Kluyveromyces lactis: one gene and its partners. The protein of the gene in region 1 interacts with the protein of each later gene in a pairwise test. Links are inferred from orthologs where the notes say so. Each region holds a gene or a part of one and is shown in the gene's direction. Other genes may lie near its edges.

Region 1 (3,279 bases):
CTGATCACTAAGACGTTGTCCCCATCATCACTTTTAAAATATGAATCAATCAGTTCACAGGGAACTTATGACGAAGGGTTCTTAGATTATGATTTTTTCATATCTTCTAAGCTGATTGAACTAAACTGTCCATTTCACTGTCAGTTTAATTTTCTGACGAAAATGGGAGCTAAAGTCACCAAGGTCACAGTTTCCCTAGTGCAGCTTGTTCTGATACCATGCCTCAAATCAGATGGCATTACACCCTTGAAGAAATCGTATATCCAAACTAATACCGTCCATTTGGGTCATTATTTTCCCACTCCAAATGATAACGAATCGAAGCTGGTAACTGCTAAATTCGAAGAACTTGTAATTAACACAAACTCTAAAACAAGTTCCTTAATGACTAAGATCTTGCCATACTACTGTGAGGAATCAAGGTTAAGGTTAAGCAGGAGGAACTCAACTGAGAAACGTTTTAAACTTAAGATTACCCATCATTTAAAGATAACTGCTGGTACATCTCTGGAAGATTGTACTAACGGCACTTTTCCTGACAAAACAAGACGTATTAACATTAATTTCAAGGTGCCCGTTATGATAATTGATAAAAATATGGGTTCCAGCTTGCATTTACCAGCTTACGAACCAGCTATGGATGGTAAAGCCATGCCCGTTTCCATTGGTAGTGAATTTGATCAAACAAATAATTCATCTCTGATATACATTCCTTCAACTTCATCTAGCTGCTCTCCGCCAAGTTATAACAGCTTAGGTTTCTGAATATCCTCACCTCACAAACACAAGTATCTAATAAATAATATTTAATAAATAGTCGAGAATGTCAGTAATCATTTATCACCAATTCGGAAACAATTTGTCTCGTGACAGATTCTTTCTTGAAGTGTCGAGTGATTTCATCACATTAATGAATAAAAGTGGAATTTCGATACTTAAGGATGTAATTGAATAGCCAGAATACTATTGACAATTCCGTTCCAGGAGTGGTATCAGTGGTCAAAGTATATTACAGTAGACAGCAAGTTAGCAAACCATAGTGTTCATTTCCTCAAAAGCCATATCTCATATACCCATTACGCGTCGTATTACTGAGTACTATTTGGAATTACCCTCACTTCGCCTTTCCAATCGAATTTCGGTTTTAGTTTTCCGTTTGAAAATGAAGAAATCAGAAAATCGAATGAAATTGTATAGGATGGATGAGATTAGCGAGTTCAGGAAAGAGAAAGCCGCCCTATTTGACGGACAACAAGGTACTTCATTCGGATTTTGACTGTGCACTGACTGTGCATTGATAAGTAATTACTGATAATCTGAAAAAAGGTGACAATTTAGCCGTGGTTACCGCTCATTTTGAAACCCTCCACTGGTCAATTTTCGTCTCTGGCTACTGCGGTTTATTTCTACTTTGGTTTATTTTAGAACGCTGTCAAAAATAAAAGGCATATCGAATCACGTGACCGAGAATGTCTGTATCAACGCCAACAGTTGCAACAGGTGGTACGCCGACAATTCATGAAGATATTGGTATTAATAGCAACCATCAGAACAACAATACCAATTCGGTGAAGGAAATCAGCAAAACCAGTAATAACAATGGTGGAGGAAACGTTGGGTTTCCTCAGGATAAGCGATTGGATATTGAATCTATGATTAATGAATTTAATGAAGTTTTAAGCAAAGAGCATTGGGCGAAATATGCCAGAGTGATTTCGTTATTCATACTCGGAAAATTGTCCAGAAAGGAATTGGTCAATGAATTAGACTTACTATTTAAACCTACCCAAGAACAGCCGAATATTAAACCAAGAGATTTAATACGATTGCATAACCAACTTTTACTATCGATATTCACTAATTCTCTTAGAGAAACCACCGACGATGATCCACAATCATCGAAATGGGGGTTCCAGAACGGTTCTCAACAACAGAATAAGAGAAGATCAAACAAGCCCAACTCGCAGATCGAATTATACAAAAAAATTGTTGTTTCCCTACCGTTATCGGATAGACAACGATTAAAAATGATAACAAAGGAAGCAGGAAAACGAGGATTTGTATTATGTTCAGTGCTACAGGCTAGATTGAGACAGATACCGAAATTACCTTGCGTCTTCAACCAGGAAACTGCCAAGAGAATTCAGCAACAAGATCTGAAGGGCCCACAGGAATGGTCCCAAAAGATCATGAATGGTTTCAAAACACAACTTTCTACCGAGTCATATGTTTTACCGGATAATGAGTCTCTTTATCTTCGAATGCTAGGAATTGCAAGAGAAAATGGAATTGTTGGACAGATAGATTCGCGATGTGTTGATATCGTATCACTTGCATTAGAGTATTATCTCAAGACAATTATTGAATCCACCATAGATACAGTAAGATACAGAGAAAAGAAATACTCGGACTTCTACGACCTAAACGATGACGGGTTCCAACAAGCATCTAGTGCGTTAGCAAATAGTAAGACTGAGAGTGATAAAGCGAAGGATATTACTGGTAACAGAACTGTATCCATTACAAATGAAGACGCTTTGGACTCGTTCACGATATTCCCCAACGTTGTTGATCCAACAGGTGCATACCTTGGATTAACTACAAATGGGTTGGTAAATGACGATGAGATCGTTCATTTCAAAAGTCCTGTCGATGATCTATTTCATTATAAACGGGAAAAGCCTAACTTCACTCCCCTTGACGAAAAGAATATGGGAAGCCGGGAAGAGCTTAACTGGCTAATTAAAGATATTCTTACAAAGAAATAATGACTAACAGTATTGCGAATATTCTCAATTGAAGGAGCCAAAAGTCACTCTTCTGATTGATTTAATCGAACAATTTCCACGCTTTCATTTTTTTGTAGAATTTATAGACAGGGAATATGACTACTATTTCGGATTTGGTAGTTTATGTAAAGTTTGTGATAATTGTAATAATGAGGAATCTGGTGTATCAAAATTGAATATTATTAAGGATTCAAGTCTTAATAATAACGATTGCAAGAAGGTCGAGACTGGGCTGACAGCCGTCTTTGTGATATCAATCGCATTCATTTTCTGAATTTCCTTAGTAGGTGCTTGGATGAAAAATATGCTTTCAAAATCATCTTCTTTATCGAAGACTTCAAATTTCATAACATGAATTCCTCTGAAATCGGGAAGTATAAAATTATTCACTTCTTCAATCGGTAGTCTTTTAGAATGGAAATCAATACATTTTTCGTCAATGACAGCGGATAAATCAGAATCCTCAGAATTTAATAAATCCTTCGAAAGG
Region 2 (3,980 bases), on another chromosome or scaffold:
TCCGGTTCTTTTTTTCAAATACGTGATCCATTTGGTACGGGATTCTTTACCAAATGTGATGCAAAAAGTGATGGAAAAGGATATTTTTTCTACATGATGATCTGTGAATTTCACGCCACACTCTGAGCCTTGGTTGAAAAAACATGAATGCAAGGCGTACTTCTGGTTTTACAGGCTTTCGAAATGGAGATGAAGAAGAACAAAACAACGTAGTAGAGCTACTTTCAGCGCCTTTTCAAGGATAGAGTTAAATTCTTGAAGGAATTTGTAAGGTACAATGTAAAACAATCTATCACCTGGTTATCAGGGAAGCGCTACAAAATTGTCGAATCTTAATTAGAGCTGTACGGTGCTGGCCGAATGAACCCTTTTTTGAGAACCGTATGTAGATCTTTGTGAACTGTGAATTTATGCACACAGATTACGTCACACAGTCCAATCAATAGAAGCAGTTAATGGTTCCAGTAATAGCTAAAGGGGGGGTATTGCCTCATTTTTCGAGTTGGTAAGTAAAAACGATATTCGTTTAAGTTAGCCGCCTTGAATTTAATCGACGATTATGTTGTACTTGTTTTAATAAGATGTTGTCCGTGAAAAACACGAGTTATCGTGAGCGCTACTTACCCTTCGCCATTGTTCTATCTTTCGACACTCAAAAAATTATGCACATTGGCTGTCCGCTTATCTGCTAGAGTAACGTTCACATTTCGTGCGTATTTTTCTGTTGATGATGGCAAAGAATAAAACAAATACGTAATTTTCAATGAAAAATTAATAGCCGGGTAAGTTATTCGGATCATGCACGTGATCACTTCCTAAATAGGAATGTCATCACGTGATACAAAACTTTTCAAGGTCTACAGAGGTTTTTCAAATTGTTTTTCTTGGTACCAATTGTTTTCAAATTTCGATATGACATTGAAATCTGTACTCTCAACCAACAAAAGCGTAGTATTGATTTCAAACGAATACACGAACTTCAACCACCAAAGCAATTATAGCGCCTTATCACTAGACAACAGGTTCTATCAGCTAGCTTCGCATTTTTGTTCTTTTATTTCAACTTGCATCCTCCCTAATTCATTAATTTCAAAGGAAGACGCGGTCTGCAATTTGATTCTTTATTCAATATAGCTGAGCTGCAACGATTGTAACTTATAAGCAATGGAATCAACTGATACTCATGAGAGAATGGACACTTTTGTCGAAAGAATCAGGGATACTGAAGATGTTGCTGAAAGACATGCCATTATATCAGAACTTTACGATGTTTTGGATGTTGTAACTTCTTCAGTCGAATACGATGAGTTTTTGAAGAAGTTGTTGCCGCTCATTTTATCACAGTTGAATGATGATCAAATCTCAATGAATGCCTCATCTCCTGAACACAAGTTGAGAAATACATGTCTAGAACTTTTGAATAGATGTCCACTTAACGATAAAATGGAACCTATGGCCATGGAAGTGCTGCAATGCCTGTTAAAAATATTAACCTTAGAAAACGATGAAAATGGTGTCTTGTGTATGAAGATCCTCACTTCGTTGTTCAAATGCTATAAGCAGCCATTAGAAAGTGAAGTGAATACGTTCATTAAAATTATCGTTGGAATATATGAAAACGTACCGAACTTGGTGGCATCTACTTTCCTTGGTGAAGAAGAAACCAGCTCATCAACTGCAGATTCACAAGATTTTTCGAACTCTAATAATGAGGAGGATGCTTTCGAAAACTTGTCTGCACCGTCCAAGAAACATTTGGAAAAAGCTACAGAATCATTCAAGACTTTGTCTGAATGCCCAATTACAATGGTGACCTTATTTTCATCATATAAACATTTGATTTTAGTAGACTTACCGACTTTTTTACCACTCGTCATTGACTTACTCACTTTGGAAGTGAAACAACAGCAAAAATCCAGAGAAGAACTAGAAGCTAAAGGTGAAAAACTTATTGGGATGTCGTCAGAAATCAAAAACCGCTCTGCATTCTGTGATTATGTCCTAGCTCAAATCAAGGCAACTTCTTTCTTAGCGTATGTGTTTATTCGCGGTTATGCTACAGATATTTTGAAACTACACGTCAAGAAAGTCCCAGATTTGGTGATGAGATTATTACAGGACTGCCCAAGTGAATTATCATCTGCACGTAAAGAATTATTACATGCTACGAGACATATTCTCTCTACAAGTTATAAGAAATTGTTTCTACCCAAGATCAATTTGATGTTTGACCAAAAAGTCTTGATTGGTGATGGATTCACTTCATATGAAACCTTGAGACCATTAGCGTACAGTACCCTTGCAGATTTCATTCATAATATTCGGTCAGATTTGGCAATGGCTGACATAGAAAAAACTGTTAAAATGTACACCAGTTTTCTTTTGGATGAGTCTTTGGCTTTGACTGTGCAAATTATGAGTGCTAAGCTACTATTGAATTTAATAGAACGGATTTTAACTTTAGGTAAGAAAGACGCATATGAAGTTCCTAAGGCCAAAAAGCTACTAATGACGATTATAGAGGCTTATACTTCAAGATTCAAGCTATTAAATTCACAGCATAAGAAGATATTAAAACAACATAATGTCTACGAACAGAGTAAAAATAAGAAATCTAAGGAGATCCAAGATCAACTTGCGAAAGACAGGCACGATGTTGATGAATATATGGTTAACATCTTGAAATCAACAGACGAATTGTTACCGTCATCAGTTACTGTTGATACCAATGCCGACGTCGATGGTGATATTACTATGAGCGAAGAACCTGATATATCAGAGAAAGGTAACAGTTCGGTGCATAGTGATAATAACACATCACTGACTGTAAAGAATCAAGATAAAAATTCGGATATATCGTTCAAAGAAAACTCAGTTGAGATATTGGACTTCAATGATATACAAAATCATGCTCCAATAATTCTCTTCCAAGCGACGTCAAATGATCCTCTTAAGGACGCATTTTACTTATATCGTACTCTTCTTTCATTTCTGAAAACCATTATTCATGACTTGAAGGTTTTTAACCCACCCCCAGATGAATATACTACAATGAATCCGAAAATGTGGTCTGCATTATCAAGAGTATTTTCCTACGAAGAGGTGATCGTGTTGAAGAATTTGTTCCATGAATGTATAGCTGGTCTACATCTATTTTCTTCTAATCCAGAGGGCATTGATCCATCCACAGTAAAAGCACACTTCGATATAACTACACCTAGCTTACCTGTGTCAGCAACTAAAGATGGTCGAGAGTTGATGGATTATTTCGCTATTATTTTCATGCAAATCGACAGTCCTGTCTTCAATGAAATCGTTGAGAGTGAAATCGTCTTTATCTACGAATCTTTACTACGCGATTCAGCTTTGTTGCATGTTGCTCAATCATTCTTGACAAGTGAAATCACATCTCCCAATTTCACCGGTATTCTTCTAAAGTTCTTGAATTCCAAACTTCCAGAACTAGGGAATGTGGACAGTAACAAATCAAATATACTCATCAGACTATTCAAGCTATCATTCATGTCTGTCAATCTCTTCCCTATTACCAATGAGGCGGTCTTGTTACCTCACTTGAATAATTTGATTTTAGATTCTTTGAAGTATTCGACAGAGGCTGAAGAGCCTTTGGTGTATTTCTATTTGATAAGAACATTGTTCAGAAGTATTGGTGGCGGCAGATTTGAAAACTTGTATCGTTCAATAAAACCAATACTTCAAACTCTTCTACAGTCCCTCAATAAGATGATCCAGACAGCTTGTCGCCCTCACGAACGCGATTTGTATGTGGAGCTCTGTCTCACTGTGCCTGTGAGGCTTAGTGTATTGGCACCATATTTGAATTATCTAATGAAGCCATTAGTGTATGCCTTGGTTGGATTTCCAGAATTGATAACTCAAGGATTAAGGACTTTGGAGTTATGTATCGACAATCTAACTCCAGAGTATCTAGACCCGATTTTGGAACCAGTTGTCGGTGA
Region 3 (3,954 bases), on another chromosome or scaffold:
TTTTTTGGCAAATCTAAATCGACGTACAATAGGAAAGATTATCCTACTCACAGACCTACTGATTCACTCACGCAGTGACTCAACGGCGTATGGCTTTTCTATAGAAGAAGCAGCTGGCGTTTTAGAACGGTTTGCTAGTGTATCTGATGGGCCTTGCGATGAGATGGAGCAACGTTTGACGATGGAAAGACAAGTATCAGAACTGAGAAGAAGGCGAATTCCTTTAATTTTCCAACTTTCGTGCTTGAATTCTTGTTTTTTTTCCCAACTTCACCGTTTCATTGCTGTTCAACTTCGTCTCCTGACATTAGTGGAACCCCAATGGGATTATTTTTACATGAACCGGGTAACGAAATAGTAAAATAAGGGCAACGTGACTTATAATTTCTGTTATATTACAGACGCGGCACGCATTACCTCCAATTGCCACGTCAAATGAAGGTACCCCCGTAGTATGTACATTGGTAACTGGCATCCCGCAAAATAAGCATCCCTTCTTTGGAAGTTGAAAAACACGAATCCAGATCCAATTACTGGACTCCTACCCCTGGATGGAAAAACGAAAAGGAAGTCATTTGTGGGGGGTATGGCTTTGGCATCGTGAAATAGGGATCTTCATTTACCCACCCAAGGCCACTGCAAAATTCCCGACCCTTTAAAGCCTCTCCCCACTGTTTCTCTGTACACATATATTTTATACTGGGTTCTCTAGATATGTAGCTTAACTGCGTTCTGCGAGTAAAAATTAAAATAAAGTTCGAATCGAAGTCTAAAAACGTGCTGTGGACTCCGGGGCTGTTCAACCTGTTACCCGGAGATGTACTGAAAAGATAATTCTTGAATCCGTAAAACGTGACCTTTAATTCAGATCTCTAAATGCCAGTTACTTTGTGTCTGAGAGTAGTTTCCAGGTTGAAAGTTGAATATGGAAAAAAATAAAACTGAAAAATGTGAATGAATAAGTAAACAAATAAACAGCAAATGATTGCTAAATCATTGCCTTAGCAAGCTTGAACTATACCAGTACTTGAGCTTAGGAGTAAGCTGAATAAGGAACTAGGTATACTTGCTTAGCCTTTTAAAAAAAAAAAGCGTGAAAGAGAAGAACCTCTTAGCACAGTTTCCGGCTTGCTTAATATGTCTTCGAACGGCAAACAACAGGGAAACAAGGCAGGCGATGCAGCTGGGGGAGCGTCAGGAGCCACGGCTCCCGGTGCAGGCGGAAGTAGTGGCAATGGAAATAGTAGTGCGGCCGGAAATGCTAGCGCTAATGCCAATGCTGGCGGTAGCGGTGCCAGTGGGAATGCACCGGCAGCTTCTAAACCGGGGTTTTCAGCGTCAGATTTGAACCGCATCGTTTTGGAATATTTGAATAAGAAGGGGTATCACAGAACGGAACAGATGCTTCGTGCTGAATCGTCACGTACTTTGACGCCTCCAAATAAAAACGCTGCTGCTTCTAACACAATCCCTGCCTCGTCTGCATCAGCCACTGCGATTACAGGAAGTACTACCACTGCAAAACCTGTTTCAAATCCTTCGATGCCCTTGAAAAGAGATAACAACGGCCAATTGATAAAACCGCAACAGGTGACACCCTTGCACTATTTTAGAGCTTACTCAATGTTGAAAAATTGGATCGATTCGTCTTTAGAATTGTACAAACCTGAGCTATCACGTATCATATACCCGATTTTCATTTACGTTTTTTTACAGTTGGTCATCAAGGACCCCTTACAAGCGAGAAGATTCTTTGACAAGTATTCTGTCGATTACAAAGCCCTTCATGGATCAGAAATTAACCGATTATTCAGTGTCAACTCAGTAGATCACATCAAGGAAAATGAGTTGGCTCAAGGTTTCCAAACCAATAAATATAAGATCACAATCTCAAGAACTACTTTGAACCTTTTGTTGTATTTCTTGAACGAAAACGAAAGTGTGGGAGGATCTTTGTTGATTTCCATCATAAACCAAAACTTGGATCCAAATATCGTAGATGTTGTCAAATCTGAGGATATTCTCACCGACGGGATCAAAGATATCTCAACCGGTGATATTGATGTTGATACGTATAACTCGGTACCTGTGAAGTTAGGACCGTATCCAAAGGACGAAGAGTTCACCAAGGAAGTAGAGATTGAGTTGCAGAAAAAAGATGAACAAGAGGCAGCTGAGAATAAGGATAAACCTGTCGGTAAGACATTAGTTGAGGAATATAGAGAAATGAACGGTAATCAGAACAAACCAGAGGGCACTGAAAAAGCTGATGATAACACCGTTAAGGAAGAAAATGAAAATAAGGAACCTGAAGCTGAAGAGGGTGGAGAAGAAGTCGATGCAACAGCAGATACAGAAGAGAAAGGCACTCCTACACTTAGTGTCGAATCATCGGCTGCTGAAAGAAAGAAAAGAGACTCAAAGAATAAAGACGAGGAAGAAAAACCAGAGGCTTCAATTGGATCTATGATGGAATCACCAGCAAAGGATTCGTTGCCGCTACCGGTAAAAACAACTTTAGATCTAAAGATGGAAATTCAAAAAGTAAGGGAGAGTAGAGATTCCATCCAATTGAAAAACCTACAAACTTCTGCACCAAGTGTGTGTATGTACACTTTCCACAACACTAATGGTAATATGACTTGCGTAGAATTTAGTGATGATGCTAGACTAACTGCAGCTGGTTTCCAAGACAGTACAATTAAGGTATGGTACCTTGATGGATCACCGCTACAGTCGATCCTCCCATCCAAAGCTAAAGACCAATCGAACTCTGCTACTTTGGTAGGACACAGCGGACCAGTTTATTCCGTTGCATTCAGCCCGGATAACAGGTACTTACTTAGCGCATCTGAAGATAAAACTGTCAGACTTTGGTCTTTAGATACGTTCACTTGCCTAGTGTGTTACAAAGGCCATAACCATCCAGTATGGTACGTCAAGTTTTCTCCACTTGGCCATTATTTCATCACCGCTTCACATGATCAAACGGCTAGACTATGGTCTTGTGATCATATCTATCCGTTGAGAATTTTCTCAGGTCATCTAAATGACGTGGATTGTAGCACTTTCCATCCAAATGGTTGCTATGTTTTCACTGGTTCCAGCGACAAAACGTGCCGTATGTGGGATATTCAAACAGGTGATTCTGTTAGACTGTTTTTGGGACATACATCACCAGTCACCGCACTTGAAGTATCGCCTGACGGTAGGTGGTTAACTACGGGCAGTGAGGATGGCACAATTATCGTATGGGATATTGGTACTGGTAAAAGAATCAAACAGATGAAGGGTCACGGTAAGAATCCTATCTATTCCATAACTTTTAACAAAGAAGGTAACTGTCTAGTAACAGGTGGTGCGGATCAAAGTGTTAGAGTTTGGGATATAAAGAGGTTTACAAACGAGCCTGGAATGGAGCCGGAACAACAATTCAACACGTATTCAGGAGATATGGAACTCAGTGTAAATAACGATATCAAAGAATTCGGACGTAGGCGGGCAGTAATACCAACTCAGGATTTGATGGCTTCGTTCCATACAAAGAAAACAGCAATTCACAAAGTAAAATTCACAAGAACGAACCTAGTTTTGGCTGGTGGTGCATTTATTGAGTAAATGCGATTACTTTACTCAGCCAGATAAGGGTCGTTTATTCGACATATCTAGTAGTTGTCCAATTGTAATAAATAAAAAAAAAGAGAATGCGCTTTATCTTTATATTATTTACAATGAGTACGTATATTTTATGTGCATTGATATCAATGCAGTCAATGAAATGTAAATGTTAACAGAATCCTAATAACTAATCTAATATTGGTTTTTCAGCGTCCCACTGCTGTAAAATCGGATGTCCTTTATAATAGTAGCTTTCCCAGTGGATATAGTAATGAGGGATTCCAAATAATAGTAACAAAGATGATATTCCCAAAGGTATCGTGATCCCGACACCCA
Region 4 (3,767 bases), on another chromosome or scaffold:
CGTATTATGCTTTTCATTCTTTTCGTTCCCTCGAGGCGAAATCCCGTAAACGACGTTATACGATTGGCAGCATTACGTTTTTTAAACGAGGAAGGGAGGGAACCTAGGCAATGGACCGATATATTACTCACGTGATTTATCTTTCGCTTTGTGTATGATTAAAGTCTGATTATGTATATATAGTATATTACAGACATATATCGGTTTGACCGTTTAGAAGTTGAATCAAAGCTTTTGGTCTTCGACTTGGTCTCTGGTCAACCAGTGGAGTGCAAGCGGGTATAAACTCTTCATGTAGCCTAGTATCACGGTGTGTCGTCCGTTGTCCTTTCGCTCTTGGACGCCCTCTATTTCCTTTGTAAAGTGGATATCACGTTGGTAATCCAACGTTCTTGTGATGGTGCCATCTTGCAAATGGATAATCTCATCAGCCCATGGTGCTAGCCCATCGAAAATGTGCGTTGCATACACAACGCTACATTGTCTGTCTCTCGTTTCTCGATCCAGGAATTGGAATAGACGGTCACGTGCCACGACATCCAAGTCCACAGTGACTTCGTCTAATAGCAGAACTTTGAAGGGTTTCAATAAACCCATGCACAGTTGTACACGTCTCTTTTGGCCATCGCTAAGTTTGAACATTCTCCAATTGATATCCACTTCCAAGATTCTCACTAGCTCTTCACCTCGAGCCCTGTAGTGGCTTAGTCCGATACTCTCCAAGAGTTCCAGGACTCCTATATCCCTGTGTACAATAGCCATACTAGCCCATTCAGTGCCTAAGTAAGTAGTCAGTATCACGGACTCCTGGTCATTGTTTGGTGCGAATGGGTTCTTGTTTCCAACTTTTATGTTCCCACCGAGACACAAATGTTTACCACTTAGTAGTTTCAACAGCGTAGATTTTCCAGCACCGTTGTTACCCACCACTAAGACTTTCTTGTTCCATTCGACACTTAGCGATAGATCGTGGATTGCTGAGCGTTTACTTCCGGGGAATGCGTACGTTAGATCGTGCACTTCCACTGCTAGGTCGTTCGAGGCCATTATTTGTTTTGGCTTGTAGTTTTCAAAGGTTTGAGTGACTTGTTCTATAGTTAGATACCGATTGAGCGGTGATTAGAAGCTCCGCCAGTGTATAATAGGATCGTTATCTTGTTGTCTCCATTTGAAAGTGTTCTGATTCAATTTGATATTTGGAAAATAAAACTGTTGATATTGAAATGATTTCAACCAAAATAAACCTGTCTGTACGAATTTAGGACACAGTGAATATGACAGGAAACACTGTAACACATCACAACAAAACATTGTCCTTTCCCACCTAAGCCACGTTCCAATATGGATGATGATGTGGATGAAATCTTGAATCAAAATAACGTTCAAAATACTCAAGATGATGATGTTGACATGGACGATGAATTGGAGGATGTAGATGTGGATGTTCCGAACGCCGAAGAGGACGAGCCGATGGACGAGGAAGAACAAGATGAAGATGCTGAAGATGCCGATGATGACGACGATGAGGATGAAGATCGGAGCGATGACGAAGATGCTGAAGATCGAAGTGAGGATGATGATGATGATGATGATGATGATGATGAACGCAGTGATGACGATGATGACGATGATGACGAGGAAGAAGATGAAGAACAGACAGAGAATGGTGAAGAGGGCACGAGAACGGGGGAAATTAAACAATCTAATACCCACGAAATTGGAGATGATGATGCCGAGAGTGCCGAAAAGGAATCCGCAACTTCTGAGAAGGATTCTCCATCTTCTTCAGATGGGAAATCTACTGAAATGTCAAAGCTGGATAAGATACATCAATATTATACGACTCTTTATAGATCTGCATCTGTAGCAGAATCTTATAATATACTTCCAACTGCAGCAATACCAATACAGACTAATGTACAGGCATTGACCATGTCCAAGGGTCTACGGTATCTATTTCTCGGTGGGTCAGACGGGTTTATAAGGAAGTTTGACTTCTTAAATACTGTGGATGGTAAGCTATCACTAACTATTCAGCAGAAGAACGCATTGGTGGATTCAATTGTCAATGCGGGTATCTTGACTTCTTATTGGGAGAATGAAGTACCGCAACCTCCGTCAAAAGTAAAATGGGTAAAACAAAAGTCGGAGTATCTTCCTCTCGTCTCACCTGTCCACTCCTTGGCGGTTCAAAATGAATGTTTGTTCATACTAGCCGGACAAGAAACTGGCGGTATCGTAATGCAGGGTGTTAGATATTTTGAAGGGAGGACTGCACACTATTTTAAAGGTCATAAATCCATCGTTAACCATCTTGTACTTAATGATGAGGAAACTAGGTTTTTATCGGGTTCTTGGGACAAAACCGTCATTGAATGGGATTTGGAAACAGGAACTGATATAACCAAGTTCAATGCTACATCACAGTTGTCTTCATTAGAATTCAGACCCACCAATGCCGCCTACGAACTTCCTGAGCCTAACTTGAGTGGACACAATCCTGATGTCGATAGCAATAATGTAGTTGGCAACGGAGATGCAGCTGATATCGATGATGTTGATACTAATTCATTGTTTGGTGATGATGATGATGATGATGATCAGGATGATCAACACGTAGCTACCAACGATAATACCGAGAAAGCTGAAGATAATACTCAACAAGAAAACAAAGATAAAAATGAGATACAAGAACACACATCAGAAAAGAAGGTCGAATCAGAAACCATTAGTAAGAATACTTTAGCTTTGAAAACGGATGAAAACTTATTTTTGACGTCTTGCATTGATGGTAATATTCAAATCTGGGATCGAAGACAACCCTCGAGCGAAATTATCAAACTTGGTCGTAATGTTTCAACACCGCCATGGTGCATGTCTGCATGTTGGTCAGTAGACGGGGGTAAAGTAATAGCAGGTAGAAGAAATGCTGTTGTAGAAATATATGATTTAAGAAAGCCCGAGGTAGTGGAAAGCAAATTAAAATTGCCATCAATTTCAGGACCCGTTTCTAAAGTGAAGGCAATGCCTAACAATAGCCACGTTGTTGCGGCATCTAACGATAACATCAGAATCTTTGATATTAACCATATCGATAAAACCCCACTTATTATTCCAGGACATCATGGTGGATGTATCTCAAATCTTTATGTGGATCCTACATGTAGATTCATGATTAGTACAAGTGGTAACCGAGGCTGGCAAGGTACAGCGACCGATGTAACTTTAATCTATGATATTGAACTAAATTAAACATTTGATGAAGCAGTGTTATAAGTATTCGGTAACCTGTATAAAATAAATACATGTTAAATATATCTGTATCATTACACGGAAGGCAACTAAACGGACTTATTACGGACTTAGCACCTTTTTCAAAGAATCTATCAACGAAGAACTATGTATAGTGTTGGTATGTGAAGAACCCACCTTGATTACAGCCGCAATTATGCCTATAACGAGAGACCATTTAACAAATAGTGGAATCTTTGGTGACGCTTTGACGATTTTCCTTGAAGCGTCCCATTCTATTTCTTTTGAAAGAACGTTTATTAATTCAGAGAACTCAATATTGGATACAGATATCAAACTACTGTATTTGTTGACATATTTTGCCACTCTAACCGTACTATTGTTTAGCCGTAGTCTTGCCTGGGTTAATATTTCATCCCATGATGATCGGGTTAGAAATTTCAGCAAAGTTTGTTGTACTACAGAATGTATCAGGTCCATGTCATTCTCAAAATCAATTTCATAAGCCTCCACTT
Region 5 (3,496 bases), on another chromosome or scaffold:
TGGTGGTACTGATGGTTACGCTCGTGTGTTTTCCGGTTTCATTAAGGGATTGGATACCAAGGAACAAGTTGCTGGCTCTCCATGGGGTGAGAAATTCCCATTTGGTTCTTTGGTTAGAGAATGGTACCAGGGTGCCTGGATCCACGATATCAAATGGAGATCTTCCATCGATAAGGTCGCATTTGTCACCCACGATGGTTCCTTGAATATCACTGATTACACTGACGATATTAAGAGTGTAGACAACCCAGAAGGTCTTCCATTCATCACCTTATGTTGGATCAATGATCATGAAATTTTAGCAGCTGGTTTCTCAAATCATCCTGTTTTGTACAGCGAAGGTTCAAGGGGTTGGGAAGTGTCCAAGATTTTGGATAGCCCAGTTAAGAGTGCTGGCAAATTGGTAGCATCAACTGGGGATGATGAAGAAGAAGGTGCCTTCGGTATGTCCGCATTGAGAAAGTTCAAGGAATTGGATTTGAAGGGTAAAGTTAGCCAGCAAGAAGAGAAATCTACCCATGTGAACTCAATTACAGAATTGGCTGCTTACAAGGAATCTAACAACAACGTCACTCAAGTTTCTTCTGTTGGTTTGGATGGTAAACTTGTTATATACAAGTTGTAGATATGGACGGTAAACGATTCATCTCTTCATCAAATAGTTGATCAGATCACCCCTATAACTCTTACGTTCAGAGTGAGAATACAATAAAAAAGAGTGGCCTTAGAAATGAAATATGTATATCTATGTTCATATATATTAAAATGTAATGTTACAACTCTGATTATGATTACAATAATCAGTCCGATTCCGCTCATAGATCTGAAGGTTTTTGTTGGTGATCCATCCGTCGCTGTATCACGAGTGAATATACGCTACCTTTGAGAAGCGTACTTACAAGAGATATTTTCACTTCAATTTCTCGCATCTCTTGTAAAATTGCTTCCGGTTTTGAGTCCTCATGGGTGTTGTTTAGATCTGAAAGTGTTTCGCTCAATTCCCTTAAGGACTCCGCTAGGAAGCGATATTTATCGAGCACACTTCGCTGCAATGGTGTCAGTTCCGAAGACATATTCAAAACACAAATAGTATGTTTCTTTGTAATTTGTACGTAAGCCCAAACCAGTAATGGTTACCTTTGTTGCCTTACCTTACATATTCAATTGGAACTCTATCCGGTAAACTTATGATAACGTTATTTCATTTTTGGTATTTTCCAATATTGACGAAAAACATAAACGATCGAATCCTGAAAGAATAACAACTCCATCCTTCAAAGTAAGGAATACAAAGCCAACGATTTGAATACAACACCAGCGCTCCTCTATTGCACGAACATCCACTCGAAAACTCTAGTTTCAGGTGTATACACTGAAACAGCGATAAATTTTATTCGAGTAAACGGTATTCTTTTCTTTATTCATTTGTGTTCAATTTCAATAATGTCACAGCAGTCCTCTCAGCAACAATCTTATACAATTTGGTCCCCGCATGATACGGTGAAGGATGTGGCAGATTCACTCGGAATCTCAAATACAAATGATGACGTGTTGAGGTCATTGGCGATGGATGTCGAGTACCGTATTTTGGAAATCGTGGAACAAGCGGTGAAATTTAAGAGACACAGTAAGCGATCTACTTTGACTACAAGCGATGTTGCGAAAGCTTTACGTGTCCTTAACGTCGAGCCATTGTATGGATTCGAGGAAGGATCAGCGAAAAATGAGCCCGTTAAGTTCAATAAGTTGGAGGGCGCTAATGGGCAGACGCTTTATTACCTAGATGATGAGGAGATCGATTTTGAAAAATTGATCAATACTCCATTACCAGAAGTTCCAAGATTACCAACGTTCACGGCGCATTGGCTAGCGGTAGAAGGAATTCAACCTGCCATTCCACAAAATCCAAATATCAATGAACTAAGGCTGAGTCAAGTTCCGTTGCAAAGAGGAGCAATAGTCTCACCATTAAACGAAACTTCTGTTCAAACCTCTTTACAAACAAATGTCAATGAAGAAAGACAGGCCACCGCAAATGGACCTATCTCGACACAAGTGAAACCAGGTGCAGCAAGTGAAGCTAAGCCATTGGTCAAACACGTTTTGTCTAAAGAATTACAGATATATTTCGAAAAAGTTGCTAGTGCACTTACATCGAAGGAAGAAGATATCAATTCACAACGGATGAGAGCAGCAGCTTTAACTTCGTTGAAGTCTGACACAGGACTACATCAGCTTGTTCCATATTTCATACAGTTTATCGCAGAGCAGATTACTCACCATTTAGAGGATTTGGAGTTGTTAACTACAATGTTGGAAATGATATATTCGTTATTGAGTAATCAATCAGTATTTTTGGATCCTTACATTCATTCTCTAATGCCTTCTATCTTAACACTACTATTAGCGAAGAGACTTGGTGGTAATGGCTCGAAAAACTCATCTGACGACAAGATTGTTGACCAGCAAAATAAAAAAGAGTTTTTAGAGAAGACTAATGCTGTCCGTGATTTTGCTAGCTCTTTACTCGATCACGTCTTGAAAAAGTTCCCAAAGGTTCACAAATCGTTGAAACCTCGTGTTACTAGAACTTTACTTAAGACATTCTTGGATATCAATAGATCATTCGGTACTTACTATGGTTGTGTACGTGGTGTTTCTGTCCTCGGTAACGAAACAATAAGATTCTTTTTAGGCAATTTACAAAACTGGTCGAAACTAGTTTTCGAGGAATATGACAGAAGCCAATCGGAAGACAGCAAGAGCGGAAAGAACCTAACTGACTTGGAGATAAAATTATTGTCAACAGTGATAGTGTCCACTTTAGAGAACTTGAAATCTGATCTTCCATCTTCATACAACCCTTCTGGTGATTTTAGTGAGGAGGACAAAACTCGTTTGAGAGAAAGATGCGGAATTACTGTCGGCAACGTAATACTGGAAAGAGACGATGCAAAGACTCTATACGATGCTATATTTTTTGGTGAGCTTTAGACATCAAATATGTAAATATTGTAACGAATATACGTATTAACTACGGCGCAAATAATCTCCTACGGACGTGCCTGGTTTTAACCTTTACTGGCGATGCCCTAACTGGTGTTTCTGAAACAACTGAAGGGGAAGCCACCAACACTGGGGTGTCCTTCTTTTCCTCTATAGGTTTGATCGGAGTTGCTGTAACATGTATATCCTGCTGTTTATCATCAAATCCGGTTTCTGAGATATAGCTAGCAAGTTTACGTTTACCAACTCGTTGGAAAGAGTTATTATGAGATTGAGAGATATTGATAGCTTTTCCGTTTACCAAAACAGTTCTAACAGTGCTGAACTCCTCCAATATTTGTTGTCTTTGCTTGACAATATCGTCTAAAGAAAGATCTTGCACAGACATTTGTCTTTTTTGAAGGCGATTCAGTTTCAAATCCGACGACGACCTTGACGCCATTTTGGGTTTCTTCTTTGTTGTTTCCTCCTCCAAAAACTCTACAAGGTT

Evidence for each region.
Region 2: the proteins of HFI1 (region 1) and TRA1 interact in binary tests that used the Saccharomyces cerevisiae proteins (3 or more experiments, as listed by UniProt). The link is inferred for Kluyveromyces lactis from reciprocal best matches to the Saccharomyces cerevisiae genes HFI1 and TRA1.
Region 3: the proteins of HFI1 (region 1) and TAF5 interact in binary tests that used the Saccharomyces cerevisiae proteins (3 or more experiments, as listed by UniProt). The link is inferred for Kluyveromyces lactis from reciprocal best matches to the Saccharomyces cerevisiae genes HFI1 and TAF5.
Region 4: the proteins of HFI1 (region 1) and SPT8 interact in binary tests that used the Saccharomyces cerevisiae proteins (3 or more experiments, as listed by UniProt). The link is inferred for Kluyveromyces lactis from reciprocal best matches to the Saccharomyces cerevisiae genes HFI1 and SPT8.
Region 5: the proteins of HFI1 (region 1) and TAF6 interact in binary tests that used the Saccharomyces cerevisiae proteins (3 or more experiments, as listed by UniProt). The link is inferred for Kluyveromyces lactis from reciprocal best matches to the Saccharomyces cerevisiae genes HFI1 and TAF6.

What each region holds. Positions count from the first base shown.
Region 1 is NC_006038.1:904,145-907,423, reverse strand, and holds HFI1 (Hfi1p), read left to right. Parts: upstream 1-1,469; coding exon 1,470-2,768; downstream 2,769-3,279. Other genes in the region: KLLA0_B10373g (uncharacterized protein), read left to right, coding at 1-765; CIK1 (Cik1p), read right to left, coding at 2,892-3,279. UniProt on the Saccharomyces cerevisiae protein: Component of the transcription coactivator SAGA complex. SAGA acts as a general cofactor required for essentially all RNA polymerase II transcription. At the promoters, SAGA is required for transcription pre-initiation complex (PIC) recruitment.
Region 2 is NC_006042.1:2,059,512-2,063,491, reverse strand, and holds the start of TRA1 (histone acetyltransferase TRA1), read left to right. Parts: upstream 1-1,164; coding exon 1,165-3,980. UniProt on the Saccharomyces cerevisiae protein: Essential scaffold subunit of the transcription coactivator SAGA complex. SAGA acts as a general cofactor required for essentially all RNA polymerase II transcription.
Region 3 is NC_006041.1:2,087,379-2,091,332, forward strand, and holds TAF5 (chromatin modification protein), read left to right. Parts: upstream 1-1,137; coding exon 1,138-3,618; downstream 3,619-3,954. Other genes in the region: GPI2 (phosphatidylinositol N-acetylglucosaminyltransferase), read right to left, coding at 3,806-3,954. UniProt on the Saccharomyces cerevisiae protein: Functions as a component of both the DNA-binding general transcription initiation factor complex TFIID and the transcription coactivator SAGA complex.
Region 4 is NC_006042.1:819,319-823,085, reverse strand, and holds SPT8 (SAGA complex subunit SPT8), read left to right. Parts: upstream 1-1,341; coding exon 1,342-3,252; downstream 3,253-3,767. Other genes in the region: putative ATP-binding cassette family ATPase CAF16, read right to left, coding at 226-1,047; GTPase-activating protein GYP8, read right to left, coding at 3,355-3,767. UniProt on the Saccharomyces cerevisiae protein: Component of the transcription coactivator SAGA complex. SAGA acts as a general cofactor required for essentially all RNA polymerase II transcription. At the promoters, SAGA is required for transcription pre-initiation complex (PIC) recruitment.
Region 5 is NC_006042.1:978,980-982,475, forward strand, and holds TAF6 (TATA-binding protein-associated factor TAF6), read left to right. Parts: upstream 1-1,443; coding exon 1,444-2,994; downstream 2,995-3,496. Other genes in the region: ARC40 (Arc40p), read left to right, coding at 1-625; DAD3 (Dad3p), read right to left, coding at 816-1,073; SLD3 (Sld3p), read right to left, coding at 3,035-3,496.